Ovis aries: one gene and its partners. The protein of the gene in region 7 interacts with the protein of the main gene of each other region in a pairwise test. Links are inferred from orthologs where the notes say so. Each region holds a gene or a part of one and is shown on either strand. Other genes may lie near its edges.

Region 1 (4,126 bases), on a different chromosome or scaffold from region 7:
TTTGAACTGTGGTGTTGGAGAAGACTTGAGAATCCCTTGGACTGCAAGGAGATCCAACCAGTCCATTCTAAAGGAGATCAGCCCTGGGATTTCTTTGGAAGGAATGATGCTGAAGCTGAAACTCCAATACTTTGGCCACCTCATGCGAAGAGTTGACTCATTGGAAAAGACTCTGATGCTGAGAGGGATTGGGGGCAGGAGGAGAAGGGGACGACAGAGGATGAGATGGCTGGATGGCATCACGGACTCGATGGATGTGAGTCTGAGTGAACTCTGGGAGTTGGTGATCGGCAGGGAGGCCTGGCGTGCTGCGATTCATGGGGTCGCAGTCGGTCACGACTGAGCGACTGAACTGAACTGAACTGAATCATAGTGCCATAATCACCATAATCATTACAGAAGTTTACCGAGTTGTGATTGTTTAAAATTGGTTATATATGTTTATATACATAAGTAAAGTGTGTGAAGTTGATGACATATGTATTGATGCATAAATGGCAGCTACTTTTCAGAAGGACTTTTTACAAAGCAGACTTCTTTCAAAGGAAATAGAGCCAATCCAGCCAAGTGGCACAGTCCTCACCCCTGGAAGCTCGCAGGTAGATCCATCGCTGACCCGCTGTGCGGCGGGCCGGCTGTGTTCAGCGGGCGGGCTGTGTTCAGCGGGCGCGGGCCTAAGGCGGACGCCGGAGCTCGGACGGGGCGGCGCGGCGGTTCCCTGCCAAGCGGCCCACGCCGCCCCGCCCGCTCGGCTGGGATGAGTGACGGCGACAACAGGTGCGCCGAGGCGTCTGTGGCTTCTCCGGAGCCCCCGAGTTTGGCGCGTCAGGCCCCGGGGGTCAGGCTTTAACTCTGCAAACTGGCCTCCTCTCCCCGCACCAGCCTTACGAAGTCGCCCGTCAACCGGCTTCTTGCACCTTAGTAAAGCAGCCTCTAAACGCACCGCCACCTCTCGAAAACCCACCAGTCCTAGAAGCCAACTTTTCTCCAAAGGGGAGGAGAGGAAAAGGCGTGTGGTGCATGGAGCTCTGCCTAGCCGTTCGCTGTCTCTTCCCCAGCCGTCCGAAAGCAGACGAGAGTGGCTTGAGAATAGAGCCCTCGATCCGCACACCTCACGCCCGCCCCGACCTGCTGCACGCTCTGCCCTTGAGACGGCCCAGCTCGGCGACCACGGGCCACCGCCGAAACCTGCCCGCCCGCGCCCCTCCCGGGCTTGCGGCGCCCGCCCGCACTGCCACCCGCCGCCCGAGGCTACGTCGTCTGCCCCTCCCTATCCCCGCCGGTGGCAGGTTCAGGCCCCGGGTTCGAGTCTGCGCCCTTGCAGCTGCCACCGCCGCCGTCGCCGCCAGGGGGAGAAAGTCTCCGTCGGGAAGCGTGGTGTTGCTTCCCGGGTGTGAAGGTGCTTTCGAACTGTAGGTTTCTGCGCCTTTCCCCCTGGCTTTTGAAGAGCAGAGAGGAAGATGGAGACCGAGTCCGGGGCGGTGAGTACGGCGGTCAGGGCCCAGAGTCCTGGGCCTCGGGCTAGCGGGGAGAAGGAGCAACGTGGACTCGGTCTGTGAGGGGCTGGAAGGACGAGTCTAGAGCTCGCTATTTTGTCAGCAAGAACCGTGGACAGGGCGCCCCATCGACCGCCATGAATAGCGGCCTGCCTGCAGGCCCGGTCGGGTTGTGTAGTGGGGTCAGGCAGGTGCGATGCCGGGCCTGGACTGGTGTAGACCTGCTGGGAGGTTCCGGGAAGTGTGGGTAACCGGGTCCTGTGCACCAGGCTGGGTTCAGGCTAGAGAACCAGCTTTCCCGCCGAAAGTAGGTTCGGCTGCGTCTTTGACGCTCACTCCAGCCACACTCAGCCTAGCCACCCTCATGAGGAGTTGACCAGGTGGCCATCCCCTCCACTTCCCTACCGGTCAGCGGAAACCAGAAGTCCTGAGAGACCTGGTGGGGGGGCGAGTGTGGGTTATATGGGGCACCTGGGCACAGGTTGGACCTGGACACTCGCGCCCAAGCCAGTCTGGGCCGGGTGGGGGAGGGGTGGGAGACCGAGTAGGCCCGAAGGGCTGTGGCAACGTGCCGTCGCGCCCCACCCCGTGCCCGCCGGCAGCCAATCAGCGAGTGCCACGCGATGCGCGCGGGGCCCTGCTACGCACGAGGCCGGCGTCTGGGTCTGTGCCGTTGAGGATTCCCGCCACTGCTTCTGGCGGGTTTGCGGGACAAAATTTCTCGCTGGCTAGCCTTCTTTTCCCTCCCGCACTTTGGTGGGGAGGGGGTGGATCCTCGAATCGGTGGTCCAGTTCACGATGACTTGAGAGAAACTGAGGAAGTTGTTGCTGCGGCCATTTCCTCCAGCACTTCAGCTTGCTGGCCTCGGAGGGGAAGGAGCGCCGAGTCCTTGACTGCGACGGTTAGCCCGTCTTTTTCCTCTTCTCTTCATTGGCAGAGTAGATGATAAATTTCGAGGTTAATTCTCCAGGGGAGGAGGCAGTGGGGGCACATTACTTTGGAGGAAATTTTAAATAAACTTTTTAGTACTAGAAGTTTTACTAAGCTAAGGACCCTTACTGCTTGCCCCAAAACAGCACCTGGCTAGGTGCTTTTCATACATTTGCAAAATTTTGCTGGCAGAATTTGAGGCATTCTGAATTAACTCAATAAATCGCTAACTGTCTCTAAGGAACTTAAAGATTGCCTCTACCTGAGCTTTGTTACTTCCAAGATTAAAATATTTTCTAGGGTTTTATTCATGTTGTAGTCTTCAGCCCACAACCTAAGGGTTGGTGAATCGTGAGCAAGAGGAAATTATTTATTCTTCATTCAACAAATGTTTATTGAACACCTGCTATATATGGTCTTAGATACTGCGGTGAACAAAACAAGCAAAGTCCTTTTTTTGAACATTACAATATAGTGGAAAGAGATGACAAACGTAGTATAAATTACATAGTGTGTTGGAAAGTGATTAGTGGTAAAGGGAAAAAATAGTTGGAACCCACAATAGAATAGGAACGTTAAAAATTGAACAATGATGTGAATAGCATGTACAAAGTTCGTGTTTTTCCTTCCTCCGTGTTGAGGATTTCTTAAGATTGGAAATAAAGCACTTTGTTCTCTTCCATTCATGTCATTTTTCTCTCATAAAAATAAAACCAGTGGAGTTTTATTTAAATAAATTTGAAAGCAAAAGAGTTCATCCATTGAATTATTTTGTTTTAAAGAAGAGAATTTCATGAATTTTTTTTAAATTTTGCAGATAAGTAATTTTTGCATTCTCTAAACAAATAGGCAGATAGAGTAGATTGTTTCTGCCAGAGCTGTTCAGTTATCTTTAGCAATACAAATCCACAATTGAAAAGTAAAACAAAACATCCCAGAATCATCCAGTCTGGCACTATGTCTTACAGGTGACTGAAGTTATAAATTAACTTTCAAATGCCCTGAGAGGATGCTATTAAGATTGGTTTCCCAGTTTTAACTGGCAGCTACAACAGAGCAATTATTAAATATGATGACTTTGTGGTTTAAAAGATATTTTTATGAACTCCCTTACTAGGGAGCGTTTTTCCTTCTTAAGACTAGATGGACAATAGACCCCAAAAGCCTATAGCCTGGTAGTCACCACTGGCCTAGATATTTCTCTGTACATCTTGCAGAGATTAATTTTTAGGGATTATGGCTTATTGGCTAGTAAAGTGAAAGGAGAGCAGTGTGAAAAAGAACAACTCCATTATCTAAGTGGGAAATTCATTTTCATGAGTTTGTTTTTCAGAGAATTTAAGTCGTGAACTTCAAGCTTTTTGAAGCACTCTTCGAGTGTCTCAGAAGTCTCTTTAGTGTTCTTATAAGGAAAATAGGAAGTTGTTATATTTGTTTCTCTTTAAAATTCTATTCCCAAGTCTTGTTTTTTTTCCAGTGTACCTTAAGAGTCTATCTACTATTTTGTTATTGTGCAAAGGCATATATGTTAGTTGTTATTGTTTTTATAGTTGCTAAGTCATGTCCAACGGTTTGCAACCTCATGGACTGTGGACCACCAAGCTCTCCTGTCCGTGGTATTTTTCAGGCAAGAATACTGGCATGGGTTGCCATTTTCTTCTCCATTACTTGTTAATACGTATTTATTAACATCTGAATT
Region 2 (3,500 bases), on a different chromosome or scaffold from region 7:
TGCTGTAGCCCGTGCGCTCCATCAGCGCCAGCAGCGCCGCCTCGTTGGGCGCGCCCGCCACGCCCTCGGGCACCTTGGCAGAGGACCCTGTGGCAGAGTCGCTGCTCATGGCTGCGGTGGAATCCTCTGCGGTCATAATGTCACAGGCATCCACGGCCGGTGGAGACCTGGGGAAGGCAGGAGGGAGAGGATGAGCCTAGAATCTACAACAAGTTGAGCCACAACTTGACCACAATTTTTTTTTCTTCTTTTCCTCTTTTTTTTTCTTAAAGCCATCCAAGACTCACGCTTAACTCTCGGGTGGTTAAATGAGAAATAAGATGGGGACTTCTCTGGATGCGCGGCGGCTCTAAAATCGTCTAAATTAGGCAAGTTGTTTTGCAGGAAAAACCAGAAGTGACTCAGGAAAAAAAAAAATCAGAAGGAGCAGGTACTTCCGCCTAATCAGCACCCCCAACAGCTTTGAAGCATAGAGAACCTGCTGTCATTGTGGGTGCAAACCTCACGTCTTGAGGCAGTTGGCAACATCTTTTGCTTAATTCCTGCACTGTCAACTCAGATTGATTTCCTTTTAGTATAGCGTTTTACCCCCTTTATTTCTTTGGCAGACAAAGCCTGCTTTCTTTGCTTTCTTTTTAAAGAGGCTTTTTCATTTAGGAATGGAAAGAGGGCAGTGTATTTACATTGTTAAGGAAAAAAACTGAGGAGGTGTTATTATAGAAGATACAGAACTGTGTGCTGAAGCTTTTTACAGGGAAGAAATGGAATATCCACAATAAGGAAGGACTTGGGTGAAGAACTGTGCGAAGAGCTGGTAAGTCTGATTTTTATGGTGTCACTCCCTGTCAGCAATTATGAACCATTCATGGATTTGGAATCAGTGCACAAAGAGCTAGATTAGGTTCAGGCTGGGGATTTTTGAAACAACTATCTGGTAAACTACAGGATAGTTTTCAGAGAATTGTCACATGCATTATCTTATTTGATCTTAATCTCCTTTCATGGTAAGTGACAGTATCATTAGTCCCAATTTGTCTATGGGGAAATAGACTCAGAGAGGTTGAATAAATTACTCATTTCACACAGTAGGTATCTGCTCCTATCAGGACTTGATTTCAAGCCATCTTGTGTTCTTTCTTCTAAACCAGTGCTGGGCAATAGAACTCTCTGTGATGATGAAAAAACCGTCGGTAGCCACTTGTGGCTACTGAATACTTGAAATGGGACAATTGCAGAGTTTTTCATTTTTTTCTAAAATTAAATAGCTACATAAGTGCAAGTCTAAAGCACGCCACCTTCATTCCTTCAGAACAAGACCCTTAGAAATGATTTAAAATTATACAGTGAGATTATCACTAGGCGCTTCTTACTGTGCCTTTGTAAAGAATAGCTCTGATTAGCTTTTTTTTAAAAAATGAAGTTTATTTCATGTTTTTGGACTATTAAAGTATTCAAGTAAATTTTATGGAAATTAAGAAAAAGTAGGAAAAAGAAGTTATTCCTAACTCTCCTACCCAGTGATAGCCACATAAACTTTCCCATCTTGCTTTTGATAGTTTCTTTGGGGGGAATGGGAGTGGTGGAGTTAGGCTTCCAACAAATTTACATCTGCTGCTTTACTTCATTTTATAAGCATTCCTCCACATTCTTAAAACTGTAAAAATATGATTTATAATAGGAATATGGTTTCATCATTCAACTAAATTTTTTTTTTTCATTTTTAAAAATGTACTGCTGGGAATTCTACACAGGATATTAAGGGAAATTTCAAGGTTAATTAAGGTACATTTGCTCATCTAAAGAAAAAAAAAATGATAGGGACACAACAGAATGTATGTTTTCACCTGTTGGCCAACCAGTACTACCTTGGTTCGTCTGCTGAAACATCAAGCAGCAGTACAGTTTCATGCGTTAGTGAGTGGCCACTGGACTGATGCTGAAGCTGAACCTCCAGTGCTTTGGCCACCTGATGTAAAGAGCTGACTCACTGGAAAAGACCCTGATGCTGGGAAAGATGGAGGGCAGGAGAAGGGGACGACAGAGGATGAGATGGTTGGATGGCATCACCAACTCACTGGAGATGAGTTTGAGTAGACTCCGGGAGTTGGTGATGGACAGGAAGGCCTGGCGTGCTGTGGTTCATGGGGTCGCAAAGAGTCGGACATGACTGAGCGACTGAACCAAACTGAGCTAGAACCAGAGTGCATGACTATGTGTGAATCCTAGCTTGAACACTTCCTAGTTGTATGACCTGAAGCAAGGATATTCAGCTCCTTCATGCCTCAGTTTCCCTATCTATATAATGGGAACAATGATAACAGTATTAACTTTGTTACATTTACAAAAGTGAGTTAATACATACAAGCATTTTGAACTGTGCCTGGGAAATTGTAAATGCTCAAGAAATGTCAGTTATTACACTTCATCCAAACTTCTGGGTAAAACTTCAGACCAATTTAGTTTTAGAGTAATTGTGACACTTTCTCAGTTCTTTAAAAACATCTGTTTGATATGGCTGCTATTCTTATTTTTAATTTTCTTTGCTCTTCAGTTGCTTGAAAGCTGTTTTGGCAGCATATCTAATTATTATGAAGCCTTTTTTTCTGGTTTAAATTTGAAAATAATATAGTTTCTGGAGTTTTGTGTTGAAGCAGAAATTTCATATCAGATTTGAACATGAAGATCTTTCCCTCCTTCCAAAAGGAAGATAAGGATATATTCTTAAGATAAGAAGATTCTTTGTACAAACACCTATGCATTTATAATCTGTGACCTGGGAAGGAAATGCCAGGTATATATATATATATAAACACATATGAGGGAATTCAAGATCTTAACATGGTTTAACTACATAAAACAGTGACTAAAGTCCAAAGGAATAGTCCTTCTATCTCTTCTGAGAGATGTAGAGTTGACTTTTTCTTAATACTTTCATAATTGTACTTTGAAACTACTCTTTAACTCACACAAAAAGCTGTATAATGCCAGGTTAGGGGAGTCATTTTCAATTCCAGCCCTATTAATTTCACCAGAAAATCTGTTGCTTTCAGTAAGTAGTTATAGCTTATTCTCTTGCACCTGCAAGCCAAGAAAAGCCTTTTTTTCCTGAGCTTTCATCATCTGGGATAAATGAATCATGTTACTGGCCCCCCTTCCCTTTTTACTTTGAACCCTAGGAGGTTTGGAATTGAATTTGTCACTTTAGTTTTATAATTGTGTAAGACATTACAGCATACTCTCAGGTTCATCCGATCTTGGCTATAGTTTCATTTTTTTAGTCTCCTATATACCCAATGCCATGAATTTAGCTATGTATATTATTCATCTAACTGTTTTCATGTCCTTGGAAGCCATCTCTATAATTCTGGAGTTAGGAGAGGAATAAATGCATATACCCATGGAAAAAAAAAATATAATTTGCATGAAATATAAATTAGTATAGTATTTAAATGAACTATTTTTACACTACAGATACATAAAAGCAACTGAGAACCACAATG
Region 3 (4,117 bases), on a different chromosome or scaffold from region 7:
TTGTTTAGTATGGGGAAAGAATACTGGAAATATATTGTACTGAAAATATAAATTTTGAATGAGCATTTTTATGTGATAGTTTCTAGTATTGTCATTTATTAGCTAACACTCTGTTTTACATTTGGACAACTTAAGAAATTGGGATCTGCATGTTTTTGAACATTTTAAATTACTTAAAAATATGTAATTAAAAAAATAACTTTTCAACAAGGTCCTGTTAGTCCTATTTTCTACACTCATATTTATTGGAACCTAAGTGCTTGGTACTGCATTGGGCCTTGGGGAAATGAATAGTCTTAGGTGGAATAAACACTTAATGGCAGTTCAGTCTGGTGGAGAACTACCATTTAAACAGTAGGCTACCTGCGGTAAGTGCAGGGCACTATGGGAGCACCCTGAAGAGCTCCTAAAGGTATCAAGGAAAGGATTATCAAGGGAGGAATCCTGAGGAGTCCTGTCTTTGCAGTGTGGGAGAACAAAAAGACCTGGGGTAGGCCCTAGGGAAAGGAGCAGTTTGTGCAAAAGCTGGGGCAGGGACATATAAGCAGATCAGATTGGCTGCAATGTAGAAAGGGGAGGAATATGAAAGCTTCAACCAGAGAGTCTCTAGACCAAAGTTTGACCATCTCAGAGATAGCTCACCTCAATGAACCTGTTACTTCAACTATAATAATGGGTCCTTAAGGTCAGGGCTAAATGGGTCAGGACTAAATGGGACTGGTAAATCAAGTGCCTATAGTAAAAGTGCCTAGAGAACATAAATAAACATATCATCTTCTCTTCCTCGGTGTACGGGCTACTGCATATGGCTACAAGCCTGGGGAGGGGGGTCGGAGGGAAGTTCAAGAAGGAGGGGACATATGTATATACCTATGGCTAGTACAGGCTGATGTATGGCAAAATCCAACACAATACTGTAAAGCAATTATCCTTCAACTAAAAAAGCATTAGAAAAATAAAGGCGTGCACACCACAAGTATTTAAAACTAGGTAATGCTGCAGTTCACTGGTGGGCTCTGGACAAGCCAAGCTGTGCCAACCCCAGAGGTGAAAGCTGACAGTAGTATCCACCTCACAGATTTGCCGTGAGACTTACACAATAAATCTCCTGGTCACCGTCTGGCACGTAGCAAAAACTCAACAGGTGTCAGTTTCTACAAATTGCTATGATAGGTTTGTAAATTTTTACCTGCAGTTCTCAATTTAGAAACTTCTAGAAATGAAAGAAGTGTTCCCGTTTGACATAAAACTTACTTGGTGGACTTCCCTGGTGGCTCAGACGGTAAAGCGTCTGTTTACAATGTGGGAGACCTGGGTTCGATCCCTGGGTCGGGAAAATCCCCTGGAGAAGGAAATGGCAACTCACTCCAGCCTGAAAATCCCATGGACAGAGGAGCCTGGCAGGCTACAGTCCATGGGGTCGCAAAGAGTCGGACACGACTGAGCGACTTCACTTTTCATCGCTGCACAAATATTAATGCTGGATTGGGGACGCTGCCCCGACTCCGCTGGTGTGATCTCTCGTCTTTGTACCTTATCGTCTTTCTAAAACCTAAAGATAAAATTTTAGGATTTCTGAATTCCAAAACACACTGGTCCCAAGGATTTCAGTTAAGGGGCTGTCTCTGGGTCTCCATTCCTCGTGGAGAGAGAAAAAGGGACATTCCAGTACACATAACTCAAGTTTCTGAAACAAACTAGCTTTGAATAGAAAGTTCAGAGACACTCGTATTGAGAAAAATGTCTATTCCTCCTGCCCGAAGACCACTATTCCCGAACAAAGAGCTTCTGAAAGATTTCTGAAGGGTAACTTCGTCTTTAATGGAGGGTTCGTTTTCAAAACAAACTCACAGCCATGAAGCGTACGAGCGTGTATTTCTTTAGTAGCAACCCTATAAAAATGTTTTTCGTCTTCTGTCAGATGAGTATGCTTCCATGCTTCAACATTACTATCCCCATTTATTAAAAGCGCTACTCTTGGTTTTCAGAAGAAAACGGTCCAAAGCCACCAGGCGCTCCTAAATCCTAAAATAAGGGAGCACTACAGAACTCAACACTTCTCAGTTTGTCATGGATATTCATCTGAGTATCTGCTAGGAACTCCTCTAGAAAATGATGACAAAAAAAAAAAAAGATGAGCAAAACCTCATATTGCGAATAATCTTAAACTAGCGCCAAAGACTCCTACAAGAATCTTTCAGCCTTCCTCTCCCTTTCCTTAGCAATTAATGAGTAGGGGAGGGAGTCGGGGCCAAGGGGCGCTAGGCGGGTAGCCCTTCAGAGCCCAGCGAACAAAAGGAGTCCGGGATTAACCGGAGCGAACCGGCCTCCGAGCGGGTCGCGCCCGCCCGGGAAAGGGTGGGGGAGGGGCCAGGCCCGCTCCCCGCCCCGCCCCCCGAGCCAGGCCTGACGTCACCCGCCGAGAAATCCATCGCTACGACGTCACCCGCCCCCGACGCCCTCTCCTTGGGGGCCTAGCGGGCTGATTGCCCACAGCGGAGAGGAAAACCACGGGGAGAGACTCTTAGCCCCCGGCCCCCGCGAAGAGGCGTCTGAGGCACCTCCGTTACTGTCCCCGCGTCCCGCTTGGGCGGGCTCCCTCGCTCTCCTCCATGACCCCCCTAGCGCCGAGGCAGCCTCACCCGGCAAGATTCGAACTCGCAGCAAGATCTAGAAGTGGCGATGGGTCCGCGAGAACTGGGCGCTGAAGAACCGAGCGTAGCCCGACCGACGGCAGCGGAGACGGGGGCGGCAGCAGCACCAGCAGCGCGCGGCTCCTCCTGGCGCCGGAACAGGAAGCGCCGTGCTCGGACGCGCTGCCCCCACCCGGCTCCGCCTCCCCACTGGTCGGCGGGGCCCGGCCGCGCGCGCCCTCCTCAGGGCCCCGGTGGAACTGCGGCCAGCCAGTCCACGGCTGCTCGGCTGTTTTTCTCTCGGTGGGCGGGAGGAAAGATCCCTAGTTTCCCGGAGTTCTGAGTGTCTAAAGGAAACGCCAGTGGCGAGTTGCGCTCTGGCAGCCTGGAGGAAATTGTCTCCTGGAGAGGCTTGAAAGCAAGTTCTGGATTCCCTACACTTGCGGCATTTGAGAGTTAGGCCTCGAAGCTGGCTAGATGTGAATGCCTTCTAACCCGGGGCACAGATCCGTTGGCCAAAATTGTGGAGAGCTAAAGGAAATGGCAACCCACTCCAGTACTCTTGCTTGGAGAATCCCCTGGAGGGAGGAGCCTGGTGGGCTACAGTCCATGGGGTCGCAAAAGGTCGGACACGACTGAGTGACTTTTATATATTCTATGTAAAGCAACACTGCAGAAAAGTGAAGACGTTTGCAAATGGCTTGACAAATTGATATTAACAAAAGGAATGGATATCTTTGCAGGTTTTTTCTGATCAATATTTTTTTCTCCCCGTAGTTTAGTTTTGAATAAACCTTTACCTATCTACTCTGTGACAGACCCCAAAGGGGTCTGACCGCAGCGGTCAGGGAATGTGCTAGCTAACAATGAAGATGTCATAATTACGTGTTGTGCAAAATATACATATATAACACGTACATATGTTTTAGTGTAAAAATTAAAACGTATGCAGTATTATTAGATTTTATTTTCACTTGCTGTTAGTGGATTGGAGGGTGGACGTTTTACTATTAGCTTCTTAAACGAAGACTTATGTGGGTTTATTCCACAGCACACGTAATTCCCATACTGAAAAATGAGCGATAGAGAAACTTCGAACACCTAAGCCTGGGGAAAGTGAGAGAGGAGAGTGAAAAATTTGTCCTAAAGCTCAACGTTCAGAAAACTAAGATCATGGCATCTGGTCCCATCAATTCATGGCAAATAGATGGGGAAACAGTGGCAGACGTTCGTTTTTTTCTTTTTGGCTCCAAAATCACTGTAGATGGTGACTGCAGCCCTGAGATTAAAAGACGCTTACTTCTTGGAAGCAGTTATGACCAACCTAGACAGCATATTGGAGAAGGCAATGGCACCCCACTCCTGTACTTTTGCCTGGAAAACCCCTGGCCGGAGGAGCCTGGAAGGCTGCAGTCCATGGGGTCGCTGAGGGTCAGACACAACTGAGCGACTTCAGTTTCACTTTTCACTTTCATGCATTGGAG
Region 4 (3,500 bases), on a different chromosome or scaffold from region 7:
TCTCACTTCATCAAGAGGCTCTTTAGTTCTTCTTCACTTTCTGCCGTAAGGGTGGTGTCATCTGCGTATCTGAAGTTATTGATATTTCTCCTGGCAGTCTTGATTCCAGCTTGTGCTTCATCTAGCCCAGCCTTTCACATGATGTACTCTGCATATAAGTTAAATAAGCAGGGTTACAGTATACAGCCTTGATGTATTCTTTCCCAATTTGGAACCAGTCTGTTGTTCCATGTCCAGTTCTCACTGTTGCTTCTTGGCCTGCATACCGATTTCTCAGCAGGCAGGTGAGGTGGCTGAGAACCCCACGAACAATATGAAAAGGGCTAAATGTCTGTTATTAAAACAAGGTTTTTCAAAAATTCTGATGCCACTCCAGGTTTGAGATGGATGTTGGATTGCCTCAGATAAAGTACCTTTTTTTCTTTTTCTTTTCTTTAGGGCCTGGAAATTTACACTCCAGGATTCCAGGACAAACACAGTAAGTTGCTAATGGCAGTCACTTACAATGTTTTCTCATAGTCTTGCTGTAAAAAATGGGAGAATAGGAGGGTGAGAAGGAAAATGGCAGTGTTTTTGCCACTTGGCCCTAGATGAGCAAGCAGAGATAGACAGGCTGAGTTTCACTGACAGCTGGATTTTGGAAAACATTTTGGCAGGAGCCAATCTAACACAGGTACATTAATCCCAGTTTTATTTTTTAGAAATGTCTGTATCTCACAAAGATTTACAGCACTTTGAATTCTGCTGTGGTTTGCAGAGAAAGCACAAAAGGGATTACAGGGCCCTTTCCATGTATAGCATCTCAGCCTGTGAAATAAACATTTTTGAGTCTTGTACTTGTCTCTAGTTTCTTTCGACTTTAGGAGGTAACTGAGACAGTAAACCCCATTTGTAGAGGATAGTGGTACCATCTTTGTGTCTGTCAGGGAGTAAAAGGCAGTTCCCTCCGTGGTCAACATTTTCTTTCATTCTTCAGATAGGATTTTATTTTTTCCTTTATTTCTCTAGGAGGAAAAGAGATAGATGGAGCTTTTTAAATGATTTGTACAGGTGGGAGAAGAAAGTAAAAAGACTTAATATTCAAATGCTATTTTTTACTACTTTTGTTAGCTCAGGACTATTCTTCCCCCTAAGCTTACTCTGAAACTCCCATTGCCTTTTCTTTGATGAAAATCCTCTACTCAAATGAAGTTATTTAGTATTGATGATTCATATAGTTAGGGACAAGAGCCAAGGTGATTCTCTTTGTGGATTTTTTTTTTAAGGAGCGCATATGTTTTTGTTTCCCACTGAGGGGTAATTTAATGCAAGATTGAAAAAGTTTTTAATGTAGAAACCGGATTGTGAGTACAGGATGTATCCCTGCCTGCTACATTTTAGACTGTAGGATTTTTATTTGTGAACAAAAGTCTTGTTGAGAGTGGTATCACATCTTTTAAAGGGCCTGGGTAACACTGGAGGCTCTGGCTTTCTTGGGCAGTGAGAACTCTTTTACCCCCTACTGGTGACTGAGGAGGACCAACTCCTCTTTAATTCAAAGGACACTAAATGCAGGGTTGGGGGCAAGGAGAAGGTCATCTTGCTAGTCATTGCTTCTCAGAGAGTTGTTATATTTCCCCTTCAAAGATTAAACTTTTTGGCCTTTAATTTTTTTTTTTTTTTTCACAATTTCTCTCTTAAGGCTTACGTTGGCTCAGAAGTCATGTATGATGAGACAGCTGTGGCTTCCTCTCCACCTCCTTACACAGCATATGCTGCACCGACCCCTGAGGTAGGGAGCCGATCTTCACTTTACAGAATCCAACTGAGGGAAACTTGGGGTCTCTGTGCCACCATCCTTTTAAAACTAAAAGAAAACTTTGAGCCAAACAGTATTAGAGAAATTAGAAATGTACTTGAAACCCTTTCCTTCTTTAAACTTTTTTCTATCTTAAACAGATTATCTATTGTCTTTTGCTTTTATAAAGCAACTGCTTTATATAATCTTCATGTTCATATTTTCAAGATAGACCCAAAAATGAATCATGGTATTAATAATATGATTCTGATGATTTAAGTTTATACTTAATTTTTTTACTTACTCTTTATAATCAGAAAAATATGCTTTTTTAATTTGAAGATACAAAACCAGAACCTTAAAGTCACATGCCAAACCCCTCTGCTGCTGCTGCTAAGTCACTTCAGTCGTGTCCGACTCTGTGTGACCCCATAGATGGCAGCCCACCAGGCTCCCCCGTCCCTGGGATTCTCCAGGCAAGAACACTGGAGTGGGTCTGGGTGTGCCCTAATTAGAGGGCCAGGGGTTCAGTGCTGCATATGGAAGCCTCTCTCGCGGGAGGCACTTCTGCTTTTTTTTTTTTTTCTTTTTTCATTTTTAATTTGGAAATAATTATAGACTTACAAGAAGTTGCAAAGATAATATGGAAAAATCTCATGTACTCTTTACCCTGTTCCCTAGCTGTTACATGGTAAATAAAATCAAAACCAGATGTTTGAAATTGGTGTAGTGTTTATATCTGGTTCTGTCATTTTATCATGCATGTAGATATATATATCTCCTACCTGTCAAGATGTGAAACTGTTTATAACATCTTCCTACTACACCCTCTTCTAGTCATACCCTCCTTCCCCTTCCTAAACTGCTGTCAATCACTGATTTGTTGGCCGTCTATATAATCGTGTCATTTCTGCAGTGTGTGTAAACAGAATCATATAGCCTGTGATCTTTTGAGTTTGATGTTTTTTTTACTCAGCACAGTGCCCTTGTTGCATTGTTAAATTGCAGCACTCAAATACATGTGTCAGTGGTCTTTTCCTTTTTATTGCTGAGTGGTGTGCCATGATATGAGTGTACCACGTTTTGTATTGAGAGACATTTACCTGTTGGGGGACATTTTCATTGTGCTAGATTTTGGCTGTTACCAGTAAACCTACTGTGAACCCTCATGTACAGGTTGTTGTGCAGACATAAAGTTTTATGCCCAAAAATGCTGTTGCTAAGTTGAATATATTAAAGTATATGATTATTTTTTAAAAAAACTGGCAAACTACTTTCCAGAATTTTTCTACCATTTCACTTTTCCATCAGTAGTGTGTGAAGGATTCATTTTCTTTGTATCCCACCAGCTTTTGGTATTGTCACTGTTTTTTATTTTAATTGTTCAATAGGTATGTAGTGATATTTCATTGTGGTCTTAATTGCATTTCCGTAGTAGTCTGTGATGCTGAACATCTTTTTGTGCTTATTTGCCATCTGTGTATGCTGTTCAAGTAAGCCGTGTTTTCTTGTCTTTTGCTCATTTTCTAATTGTTTTAATTATTTTTTTATTGTTGAGTTTTGAGGGTTCTTATATATGTGAGATAGGAATAATCCTTTGTCAGATGTGTGATCTGTAACGTATCTCTGTATCCTCTTGACAGTGCCTTTCACCGTGTTTAACACAGTCTAATTTGTTGGTCTTTCCTTGTATGGATCGTGCTTTGTTGTCACATTTAACACT
Region 5 (4,287 bases), on a different chromosome or scaffold from region 7:
GCTACGCACAGTTTACTTTAAATAGGGGCGGAGCCTCCTGGGCCGCCCAGAACCTTGCCCCGGGCCCTTCCGGGATCCCTGGCCCTGGGACCGCAGTCCCCGCCCACGAGCCACGCCTCTGCGGGGAAGGCTGCAGCCACCGCCCATCCCACTCCCCCACCCTCGGGGCTCCCGGCACCCAGCTGACATCTGGGGGCCCTTTCTCCACTCGCGGTTTCCTGCCTCCCTTCCGTTCCGACAGCGTAAACCGCTGCCCCACCCAACTCACTCACCCCTGGCGCCCTGGGAATTACCACTCTCTCCCCTCCTCCAAAGCATCCACGATCCTCGACCCCCAGGGCCCATCCCCACAAACATCCAGGATACGCGACTCTCCATCGCGTATCAAAAATGACAAGCCACTAGAGCTGTGGTCATGCACAAGTCTTAATTTAATGGGTAAAAACATTAAATTACACACACAACAATATTTTCTATAAAGCTTAATAAATAGACTTTTTTTTAAACGCTGTACAAAGGGACTGGAAATGAAGCTTTCAACAAAATATTAATGAACTCATACTACCCTTTTATCGATTTGGAACACTCCCCCCTCCCCCATGCCGGAAAGCAGTGTGCACACTTGAGGTCTCTCTCCGTAAGCCGGCCAAGGTCGACAGGTTCCAAGAGCCTTGGAAGAGATGACCTCACTCCCTCACTCTCGAGGGCTGGGGTTTTAAACGCTCTGCCCTTGGGACTCAGTCTGTAGGCGTGGAGGAAACTGAACCGTTCAGGTGGCTGTTGCCTCTAGGAGCCCTTCTCTGCCCAACACACCGAAAGGGGTGAGAAAAAAAAACGAGAAATGCACGTCAAACACACACACCCCAGAAATCAACACCAACAAGCCACAAACCGGTGCCCCTCGGCCGCGGGCAGGAGGAGCAAAAGGAGAAAGTGTTTCTTCCCTCTTCTGACACAGAACTCAGCTGGGTCCTGCTGCTGGAGTGGGTGGCCCCAGGTCACAGGGGTGCCACTGTGTGCCGCTGCAGTATGTCCATGAGCTCTTGGGCCCCTCTCCCCCGTGCCAGCTCTAGGGGTGTGAGCCCCCTGGCGTCCCTGTGATGGAGATCAGACTCGGCAGCCAGGAAGCTGACCACAGGGGTGTGGCCCTCTCTCACTGCCAGGTGGATGGGGAGCGCCCCGGTGCCATCGGGTGCGTTGACATCGGCACCGTGCTCCACCAGCACTTTTAGGGTGTCAAGGAATCCAGTGCGGGCTGCATCGTGGGCCGGAGTGGTGCCCGAGGCGTCCTGGACGTTGGGGCTGGCGCCTTGCTTCAGGAGTTCCAGGGCAATGGTGGGACTGCCGAACATCATGACCTGGTGGGGGGATGGGGGTAGAGAAGGGTCAGGGAGTCTCCAAAGGAGGAGGTCTGGGGAAACGGGTGACTGGAGAGAGGGGTTGACAATGCCAGATACAAGGTTCTCAAGAGAAGGAAAAACTCCGGGGAACAAAAACTTTCAGGCAGCTGTTGAGACCCCAGAGAACAAGATCTCCCGGGAATAAGGAACTTCAAAAAACTGGTCACCCCCCGCCCCCCGCTAGGGTATACCCCCGTGGAAATTTTGAAGGAAACTAAGACCCTCCCCCAAGGAACCAGAGACACTTCTCCCCACAGATGGGAAATCATCAGGAACTATGAACCCCACCAGGAAACAGACCTCAGAGAACAGTCCCCTCCAGGAAATGGAGATGGCCAGGGAATTTAAAACTCCTCCAAGGAATTTCCCCCTCCCATATAGTAGGGATCCTTTCTGATGAAATGGGGTTCCCCTTTTGTAAATGTCCCCAAGGGAACACGGACTCCCATGTAATCTGTGACTACTCCCTTATTGGTATCCCCCTCCCCAAATATGCCAGTAAGAAAACCCCGCGGGAATAGAGATTCTCCCCCACAGGAAACTGGATACCTCGCAGAGAACCCCCTGAAAATGGGTACACCTTGGAAACAGGAATCCTTCCTTCCTGCGGTCGGATCGTCCATAGATGCTCCAAGACATTGGAGCTGCCCTCATGAAACTCGGATCCAAAGAAGGTGAACCCTCACCCAGGGAATAAGAACTTCTCCAGGGAAACTGAATCCTTCGCAATCAGAGAACAAGGAATCCTCCAAAGATGGAAAGCTCTCCCCTCCCCCCAACCTAACCCCATCCACCACCCACCTAAGAAAGGGGACATTAGGGAGCCAAGTCAGCCCAGAGACGCAGGAACAGACCTCAGTCGGCTACCAACGGGAACAAGGAGAGAAGAGGGAAGGGGTCTGCGGGCCTGCCCGGGCTCACCTGCAGCGCCGTCTTGCCAAAGCGGTTCAGAACGTCTGGGTGCACCAGCTCGCGGTGCAGAAGGCGGCGCACCTCCTGCACGTCTCCTCGGGCCGCCGCCCCGCTCAGCCGGTCGCCGGCGTGGACCTCTTCCAGCAGCATGTCGATACTGGCGGCCTGCGAAGCCCCCCGCCCCACCCCGCGGCGGTCAGTGAGGGGGAGCCCACCGGCGCTAGCCCGAACAGCCCTCCCGCAGCGTCGCCGGCCTGCAAAGAGGTCGGACTCTCCTGTCCGGGTCTCGGGCGCGACCCCCGCCCTCCCGGCCGGCTCCTCCCCCTGTCAGCCGGTGGGTAGAGAGGGGCTGAGAGCCCAGGCCCAACCCTCCGCTAGCCCGCTGGGCCCTGCCCGGCGCCCGCCCCTTGGGGGCCGGGTCTCCCCCCAACTCACCCTCCCTCCTCCTCTTCGGGCGGGGTCTGTTCTGAGCCAGCGTCTCCGCCGCTGCGGAGCAGGCCGCTAGGGGGCGGAGCCAGAGCTCTCGCGGCCCCGCCCCCAAACTCCGCGGATTTGTTTTCTTATGAACTTGCTACGTTGTAGCCCAGCTGCGATGCCCGGCTCCCGACCCTGTAGTGCTCCGCCCTCCTTGCCAGCGCAGCCAATGGCCACGCGTTGCCAGGGAGGCTTTGGGCGCCGGCGTGGGCGGGCCCGCTTCTGATTGGACGAACTGCGGCGACCGGTGAACCGCGAACAATGGCGGGGTTTTCGGTTTTTCAAAAGCGACGGGCGGGCGGGAAAGAGGGCCCGTTTAACTGACCCAGGGGAGAAAGGTCAGGCGCAGGGTAGCGCGGGCTGCTCCGGGACCTCGGCACTTCCGAGGGAAAAGGAGGCAGGGCTGGGACCGCCCAGTTTGGAGTTATGCGGTGCGATAATATTCGTTAGTTCTTACTGTGCAAAGTGCTTTATTTCATTCACTCACTGTGTGCTGGAGCCGTTCCTGGCGCTGGGGGTCCTGCATTCGAGCTACTGAGTAATTTTAGTGTTAAGCACCGTGAGGAAAATAAAGCATGGAAATGGGGTGAGTGAAAAAGGAATCACGTTTGGCTCAGATTGCGCCAGCCCTGGCACAGCAAATGCAAGGGTGTGGAAGAAAGTTCATTCACCAGCTGCCACGTGGGTGAGACTGGGAGGCGAGAGTCGCGTCGCAGGCTCTTAACAGAGGCCTTCAATAGCGGGGCCTTCACACATTTACCGACCTGCTACTGTGTACTATGCACCCCAGTAGAAAGCAAGCCAGGTGCCTCCTGACTGTTGGATACTTACCTTTTAGAGCTGGAGACGACAATAAATATTTTCAGAGTGCTATACACTGTGGAGCTGACAAAATGAGATAAATAATGGTGTCTTGGGAAAAGAAGGCTTTGAAATAGAGAGGTCGGGCATGGCCACCCTAAGAAGGTGACATTTGATTTGAGACCTGAAGGTGAGGGAAGGAGCCGTGTGTCTCTCAGGAAAAACATACCAGGTGGAGGCGCTACAGATTCCAAGGCCCTGAGCTGTAACCATGTCTAGTAAGTCCAGGAAGAGCGAGGTATAGAGAGGGAGAGAAGGGGGAGGAGGTGAGGGGTGAACAGGTGTGTGGGCTGTGGTGAGCACTTTTACTTTTTAAAAAGAATGGGGAATTTCCCTGGCGGTCCAGTGGTTAAGACTCCGCGCATCTGCTGCAGGGGGTCCAGGTTCAATCCCTGGTCGGGGAACTACGGTCCCTCAAGCTGCTCAAAACGACAGAAATCAATGGGTGGAACCCTGGGAAGCTTCTGTATTGAGGAGCCACGGTCTAGTTTAGGAGTTAATAGGCGCCCTCTGGTGGCTATGATGGGAACTGGCTGTCATGGGAGAGGGAAGCCCAGAGCCTGGGAGCCCAAGGTGGGAGCAATTGCGAGGGCCCAGCTGAGAGATGACCAGGGCTGAGAAATGGATATGTTGCCCACTC
Region 6 (2,809 bases), on a different chromosome or scaffold from region 7:
CAACTGGTGATGGAAGGTTACAAGTGGCACTTCAACGAGACTGTACTCACTGTGTGGTCGGCACCCAACTACTGCTACCGGTGAGCTGCCTGGGCTGGGGAGGTTGAGGTAGGGATCCAGGCTGAGCCACGCTGTTAACACTGCTGCCCCCGCCTTCCCCCCGACTTCCAGCTGTGGGAATGTGGCAGCCATCTTGGAGCTGGATGAGCATCTCCAGAAAGATTTCATCATCTTCGAGGCCGCTCCCCAAGAGACACGGGGCATCCCCTCCAAAAAGCCTGTGGCCGACTACTTCCTGTGACCCCTTCGGCCCTGCCCCCCTCCGGCCCCCGGACCACTGTGACTCTGCCCTCTTCAGACGGAGGCTGGGCATGGGGGGGGCTGTCCCCGGCTTTGCTCTCCCTGCAACAGAGGGCACTTCGAGGGTGAGGACTTTTCTGGAGAGGCTGGGAGCCTCAGTTCCATGCTCCTCCTCCCGTCTCCCCACTTGAACCATGAAGTTTCCAATAATTTTGGTTTTCTTTTTTTCCTTCTTTTTTTTTTTTTGGTTTGTTTTTAGATAAAAATTTTGAGAAAACAAAAAAAAAAGAAAAAAATTCTAATAAAAGAAGAAAAATGGTCTTTCGGTTGGTGTTGACTGGGTATGAGCAGTGGTACCGGCCTTGGACCTGGGATTTATATCAGGACTTTGATGCCCCAGAACCCTAATCCTGCCAGCAAGGTGAGGCTCAGGCCGGTTAGCTTGCCCAGAGCCTCCTGGTCCCCATCCAGTGACAGTGATCACTGCTGGGGGTTTCCTGAGTGCCAGGGAGAGGGCTGGGTTCTCGGGCAGCCCTGTTTAATTCTCAGAATGTCATGTCAAGACAGATTCCTCCATCTTCCTGAAGAGGAAGCAGACCCTGAGCATTGACTTAGTTAGATTCACAAGGTCAAGCAGCTGGAAATGACAAGTCTTGATTGGGGCCTGCGTCTCCTCACAAAACCTCTGCTCAACCAGCCCCACTCAGGGCCAAAGACCATAGTGTTTCCAGAGCACTGACGTCTTTCGAGTTTTATTAACAAAAATACTCTGGACCTGAGAACAGACCCGTGTGGCTCGCCCTGGGGAGGGGGTAGGACTTGTAGAGCCCAAGGGTGAGGCTGGGGGTGGGAGTGCTGGTCCCAGGCCCCATTTGGCCAGGCAGAGCCCCTCCATTCACACCGAGGTGAGAGCCTGGAAGGGGAAGCTGGCCCCAGCTGGACTCCCAGCGGCTTAGCCAGAGCTTTGAAGCCAGAGGGGGTGGGAGTGAAATCAAAGTGTGAAGTGGGGTGGGGGAGGCCCAAGGCAGCCATTTGGTGTGGGGGAGGGGGTAGTGGAAGTGAGGGGGCAACAGGCCTGGGGGAAGGGAACTGGAAGATGGGGAGGGAGGCAGGGGGCTTAGCAAAGGCTCAGTACATTGGTTTGGAGCCCACATCCAGGTAAGCTCCAGGCCCAGGGTAGGGCAGTGGGAAGGGGCCCCCTTGGAGGAAGTGCGAGGCAAAGGATGCTGAGGGTGCTGCTGCTGGGTATCCTGAGCCTGCTGGCCCGGGCTGCAGCTCCAGGAAGGCGGCTGAGTAGGGGGCTGGGCGCCCAGAGTCTGGAGCCTCCGGGAAGCTGGGATTCCCGAAGAGCGGAGAGGTATCAGGACAGGGGAGAGGGGACCACCCCCTCGTCTCAGCCTGGAACAGCCCAGCCCTGTGCCGCTGACCCACTCACCTGATTGGAAGGTGACTGGGGGCCCCGTGGAAAGCGGCAGGGTGCAGCAGGTAGGCCTCAGCACTGGGGCCACTGCAGGGAGGAGCTGGGGCAGGGGCAGCTTCCCCAGGCACTGGGGCCTGCTCTGGATCTGACTCCCGAACATCCCCACCCAGTGTGGAATCACAGGGACCACCTGGAGCATCTGGGGAGACAGAAGGGCCAGAGCGGGTTAAGGAGGATCGGCATCTCAGGCCTGGTCCCATCACCTCTGGAATGACACTCACCTCCACTCCCATAGCCTGCTGTGGCTGCCGGCTCTGGGCCCCGCAGTTTCCTCTTCACACGGGCGTCTCGCTCCCTGGGGGACAGTGATGATGATGGTGATGATGATAATGGTGATGATGATGGTAATAATGGCACTTACCAGGTGCCAGGCACTTCACCCAGGGACCCTATCAGGTAGGTGCCATTATTATACCCATTTTACAGAAAAAGGAATAGAAGGACAGAGAATTAAATGACTGGAAAACAGTAGTTGCTTAGTTGCTAAGTTGTATTGGACTCTCTTGTGACCCCATGGATTGTAGCCCGCCAGGCTCCTCTGTCCATGGGATTGCCCGGGCAAGAATACTGAAGTGTGTTGCCATGTCCTTCTCCAGGGGATCTTCCTGATCCAGGGATCAAATTCACATCTGCATTGGCAGGCAGGTTCTTTCCACTGGGCTACCCTGATAACTTGTCAAGAGCGATACTGTTACATTTATCATATTCATCAGGGTGATCCTTAAGTTAATATCTCTCTCTTCTGCCTGATTCTAAGTGTCTTGAGGGCAAGGGCCAGCTCTGAGGGGTTAGGGTTAGTTAGAAGAAGCTAATGTCCTAACCAAAACTTTACAGCCCACCATAATCTGGCTCCTATTACCTCTCACTCCACACCAGCCATACTGTAGCATGCTCCTACCCCAGGCCCCTGGCATGTTCCCAGATACTCACATGGTTCCCTTCCATACTTCCTCCGAGTCTTCTCAAATGTCCTCTTAGTGAGGCCTTTCCAGGACTCATCTCTCCAGTCCTGATCTTTTTGCTTTCTTT
Region 7 (3,931 bases):
AAAGTTCAAAAGAAGGGGAGTTTAAAAATAGTCCCCAGTTCATGTAATAATTGCAGGGCTTAAAGAAATCACCATCATCATTATAAGGAATTTTTACAAATCCTAGTTATTACTGGAAATGTTTAAATATCCCATTTAATCATCCCAACAACACCATGAAATGCATAGTAATCATCTCCATTTGGCAGATGAGGAAACTGAAGCTCACATCAATTAAACAAATCCCGCAGCTGGCACAGGGCTGAAATGAGATCTGAAACCAGAGCTATCGGACTCCACCATCGCAGCTGCCTTTATTTCAAGAATAGCTCATTGTGTTCTACTTGGTTGATATCTGCACAATTATGATATCGTTTATTCAGCTACGGCAATGGTTTCCCAGCTCTTTTCTTATGGCAGAATCTTTTATTTCAGTGCAGCCTTTACTTTACTTTTTTTTTTTAATGATTTTTTTTTTAATTGGAGGCTAACTACTTTACAATATTGTAGTGGTTTTGGCGTACATTGACATGAATCAGCCATGGATGTACATGTGTTCACCATCCTGAAGCCCCATCCCATCCCTCTGGGTCATCCCAGTGCAGCCCTGAGCACCCTCTCTCATGCATCGGACCTGGACTGGCTACTTTACTTCTGAACTCCAGTGAGCAAAAGCCATAAAAGCTGAACAGTTCTGGCTGAGGTGGGGATTGGGACCCAGAATCAGGCCACTCAACTTGAAGGTGGCCTCTGAAGTACTCTAGCATTTATCAGCATCATGTGAAAACCCCAGATCGAAGGCAACAAAAAACAACCCACACCTCCAAGCCCTGAGAACTGCATTTAGGGACAGCCTCACTGGGATAATGTAGCTGATTGTTTCCTGTCCCCATCACATTTGATCCTCATTATCAACTCAATGTGGACAGGGCAGGGCATATCACCCTCCATTTGCGGATGAGAAAATCAAGGCCAAACGGACCGGCCAAAGGTTTGCCAGGTTCACTTTCCAGCCAAGTGCAGACTGGAAGTAGAGTCTGTTTCCACTAACTCCGTGAGTCCTGGCAGAGAGGGTGCCAGCTACTGGAAACTGCCACTGACCCTTGGTTCACAAAGGGGACAATCAGCTCTTTGGCCATTGAGAGCTGAGCACAGCCCCACAGGCCCCCTGCCCAGTCCTTGTCCCAGAGCAGATGGCAGTGGGTCTCAGTGCCACCGGAGGGCCAGATAGCAGGAATCTGGCTGTAGACAGGCCATTCCCATCCCAGCCATGTCCTGCTGAGCAGGGGCAGAGAGGCAGCAATAGCCAAAGTGCCTTCTTCCCTTATGTGTAGTAACTGAATGAGCCCCAAAAGGACCAGACTTCAGGGAGTGTGAACTGGGAAGCAGTTACACTTTGCCTTTCCTAGCTCTTGCGTAGAAATCCCTGAAACCAGAAACAGTTGATAATGGCCTGAAGGGTTCCCCCACTTCAGAGCATCTCTGAGCTGAGCTGGAGCATGTGTTGGAACAGGCAACACTTAGTTATCACCTAGTCTTTAATGACCACTTAATTATTAACACTTAATCCATCTGTAAAATGGGGACACGAATACCTGCCTTATTGGGACTCTGGGAGGATTAATTAATGTTTGCAGCCCACTTTGAAGATGCAAAGCAGTGAACACGTGCTCAAAGGTGACATTAATAACTCGGTGGATTTATTCGCTTTTCCTAACAAGGTCCTTTCTTCCTCTCTGCTCCTCCCTCTCCTTTCTAATATATCCATCCCCAACAATATCTGCCCAAATTTGCCCTGGTGGAGAAACATTTAGCTCTGTGTTTCCCAGATACAGGATTTCCCATCCAGGAAACGGGCTATTTACAGCCATCTTCCCGCACTTTAATTTTCTATTATGTCCTCTGAATATGTCAATGCCTTCCCAGTAAATATTTTGATGTGCGCTCTTGCAGCGGCTTCTGTGGAGGCTGAATGGGACAGCTGCTCCCTGTATTAGGGAATTCCAGATGTGGTTTAAAACCACCAAATTCATCTGTGCCAATGCCTAGCTTTACAGGGCGGGAGGGGAGAAGCATATTCTAGTTGCCTCTGGGGAAAGCCACAGACATCTAACCTTCTCCCTGGCTAGGGTGGTTTTTCAAGGTCTTCGGATCTACCTTGGTATTGTCTATGCCTCTGCACAAGAAATGTCCTCGAAGTGGGCTGGTACAGCAGCAGAAATATAGTTCTGTTCTGGCCCCTCACCCAGGTAACTTCAGGACCCCAATCATTTTGTTCCTGTAAAGACTGTCAAAGGGTCGTGGTGGGTGGGGGAAAACACACAGCCTTTAGGGTTTAGCCAGGCAGAACAACAGGTCAAAACACTTCCCCCAGACCCCGAAAGTCAGCCCTCATCTCCTCCCTCCTCCCTTGCGTGAAGTAAGGGCACACTCACTCTTCTTGGAAGCTGAGCCCGTCTCTCGGAGTGCCAGCCACGGGGGCAGAGAGCTGCTCCTTGGAGGTCCTGGGCTGCAGGGCCTCTGGCAGGCCCTGAACTCTCTTCCAGATTTCATGGCAAGTCTTGTCTAAGCTGTCCTGGGGTGTGTCCTGGTGGATCCAGATGTATCTGGGGAATGGGCCTAGGGCGGAGGGGCGCTTGGCCACCAGGGCCGAGGACGAAGCCAGCCCATTGCCACTGGCCATCCTCTTCCTCTCTTTCCAGAAGCCCCTTTGTCCACCCAGGGCTCGAAGACAGGGTGACCATCCACCACCACCCCTCATTCACCAGGAAGGGCAGTGAGGATGGGGAGGAAGGAGGTCAGTTCTGGCTGACCGCTGGTCCAGAAAGGTGACTGCGTTCAGAGGCCCTTGGTTTGTGTTTGAAAGATGAATGGACAGCTTTCTTGCGGGGAGGGGGAGCTTATTTTGATCTGTTTTTAGTTGCTCTTTCCTGACTTTTGCCCCCCTCCCCCTCTCCCGTAGAAGAAAATATTTAAAAGTCAACAAAAACCAGTAGCTTAGTAACCGTGGAATCCCCCTGAGCTCAGGAACCAGGCGCCTGGGTGGGCAGAATGACATCTGGGAACAGCTGGAGGGGGAGGGCTGGCTCTCCCCACAGTCCCTGGCCCTCACCCGTTGCCACGCCGCCCTAGGCTCAGTCCATCAGTGCCCGCTAAGCCTGGGGGTGCGGGGGTGAGGGCCTGGCATCGTGCGAGGCACCGGGGGCTGGGAGCCCGCCATCGGGTTCTCCCGAGAGGGTCTTCCCAGGCCCCCCGCCCGGCTGAGCCCCGCTTTGCTCGCCCCACCGGCCCCTCTGGTCTCCCTCTCCCTGCCGCTCAGCTGCCCGCCCGCAGGAACAGTCCCCGAGTGCCCAGCGCCCGCCCGCTGTCCCCAGCAGACACCAGCTACGACCCCCCTCCCCGCCTCGCCAGGCTTTGGGATTGTCGGGGAAGGGTCCCTAAGCCTTAAACGGGCGCTTTCTCCGCGGGGCGGCTGGGCCAAATTGCCTGCTTGTGGCTCCCTGCCTGTGGACGCTTCCCGTCCAGCGCTGGAATTCCTTGGTGGGTTTCAAACGCAACGGCTAGGTGCGCGGGACGCCCAGGGTTCGGTCGGTGCTCCAGGCCCTCCGGGGTGGGGGGGTGGGGGTGGGGGCGGGGTCCGGAGGACCCCAGGACGCTTGCCCTCGTTAGAAGTCCAGGACATCGCGCCCCCGCCTGGCCCGCCGCTCCTCCGCACCCACCTGGGCGCTGCCCCTGAGTCGCTGATTTCACCCCTCATTGCCATTTGATCGGGGGCTTACCATGTGCCTGGCGCTGGGCTTTTTCTGTGTCCTATTCACTCCGAACAACCTCATGAAGTTAGTACCATTACGTCCTCTCCTTTTACATTTGAGGAAACCGAGTTTCTAAGGAGTGTATCCAAGGCCCACCCAGAAGTGGGGAACTGGGGTTCAAACCCAGGCACCCCAGGCTA

What was found.
Region 1: the proteins of C1H1orf94 (region 7) and BOLL interact in binary tests that used the Homo sapiens proteins (3 or more experiments, as listed by UniProt). The two-hybrid records come from large-scale screens. The link is inferred for Ovis aries from reciprocal best matches to the Homo sapiens genes C1orf94 and BOLL.
Region 2: the proteins of C1H1orf94 (region 7) and RBM47 interact in binary tests that used the Homo sapiens proteins (3 or more experiments, as listed by UniProt). The two-hybrid records come from large-scale screens. The link is inferred for Ovis aries from reciprocal best matches to the Homo sapiens genes C1orf94 and RBM47.
Region 3: the proteins of C1H1orf94 (region 7) and MAPK1IP1L interact in binary tests that used the Homo sapiens proteins (3 or more experiments, as listed by UniProt). The two-hybrid records come from large-scale screens. The link is inferred for Ovis aries from reciprocal best matches to the Homo sapiens genes C1orf94 and MAPK1IP1L.
Region 4: the proteins of C1H1orf94 (region 7) and PLEKHB2 interact in binary tests that used the Homo sapiens proteins (3 or more experiments, as listed by UniProt). The two-hybrid records come from large-scale screens. The link is inferred for Ovis aries from reciprocal best matches to the Homo sapiens genes C1orf94 and PLEKHB2.
Region 5: the proteins of C1H1orf94 (region 7) and CDKN2D interact in binary tests that used the Homo sapiens proteins (3 or more experiments, as listed by UniProt). The two-hybrid records come from large-scale screens. The link is inferred for Ovis aries from reciprocal best matches to the Homo sapiens genes C1orf94 and CDKN2D.
Region 6: the proteins of C1H1orf94 (region 7) and TBX6 interact in binary tests that used the Homo sapiens proteins (3 or more experiments, as listed by UniProt). The link is inferred for Ovis aries from reciprocal best matches to the Homo sapiens genes C1orf94 and TBX6.

What each region holds. Positions count from the first base shown.
Region 1 is NC_056055.1:200,041,803-200,045,928, reverse strand, and holds the start of BOLL (protein boule-like), read left to right. Parts: upstream 1-1,326; 5' UTR 1,327-1,460; coding exon 1,461-1,481; intron 1,482-4,126. UniProt on the Homo sapiens protein: Probable RNA-binding protein, which may be required during spermatogenesis. May act by binding to the 3'-UTR of mRNAs and regulating their translation.
Region 2 is NC_056059.1:60,124,311-60,127,810, forward strand, and holds part of RBM47 (RNA-binding protein 47), read right to left. Parts: intron 815-3,500; exon of another isoform or gene 487-814; intron 168-486; 5' UTR 137-167; coding exon 1-136. UniProt on the Homo sapiens protein: Single-stranded RNA-binding protein that functions in a variety of RNA processes, including alternative splicing, RNA stabilization, and RNA editing. Functions as an enzyme-substrate adapter for the cytidine deaminase APOBEC1.
Region 3 is NC_056060.1:65,599,011-65,603,127, reverse strand, and holds the start of MAPK1IP1L (MAPK-interacting and spindle-stabilizing protein-like), read right to left. Parts: upstream 2,801-4,117; 5' UTR 2,643-2,800; intron 1,343-2,642; 5' UTR 1,255-1,342; intron 1-1,254.
Region 4 is NC_056055.1:114,936,510-114,940,009, forward strand, and holds part of PLEKHB2 (pleckstrin homology domain-containing family B member 2), read left to right. Parts: intron 1-438; coding exon 439-478; intron 479-1,681; coding exon 1,682-1,771; intron 1,772-3,500. UniProt on the Homo sapiens protein: Involved in retrograde transport of recycling endosomes.
Region 5 is NC_056058.1:12,923,073-12,927,359, forward strand, and holds CDKN2D (cyclin-dependent kinase 4 inhibitor D), read right to left. Parts: upstream 2,801-4,287; 5' UTR 2,748-2,800; intron 2,478-2,747; 5' UTR 2,463-2,477; coding exon 2,322-2,462; intron 1,359-2,321; coding exon 999-1,358; 3' UTR 409-998; downstream 1-408. UniProt on the Homo sapiens protein: Interacts strongly with CDK4 and CDK6 and inhibits them.
Region 6 is NC_056077.1:26,714,251-26,717,059, reverse strand, and holds the end of TBX6 (T-box transcription factor TBX6), read right to left. Parts: intron 2,076-2,809; coding exon 2,002-2,075; intron 1,920-2,001; coding exon 1,736-1,919; intron 1,634-1,735; coding exon 1,429-1,633; 3' UTR 501-1,428; downstream 1-500. Other genes in the region: PPP4C (serine/threonine-protein phosphatase 4 catalytic subunit), read left to right, coding at 1-80, 172-301. UniProt on the Homo sapiens protein: T-box transcription factor that plays an essential role in the determination of the fate of axial stem cells: neural vs mesodermal. Acts in part by down-regulating, a specific enhancer (N1) of SOX2, to inhibit neural development.
Region 7 is NC_056054.1:9,116,542-9,120,472, reverse strand, and holds the start of C1H1orf94 (uncharacterized protein C1orf94 homolog), read right to left. Parts: upstream 2,801-3,931; 5' UTR 2,741-2,800; coding exon 2,415-2,740; intron 1-2,414.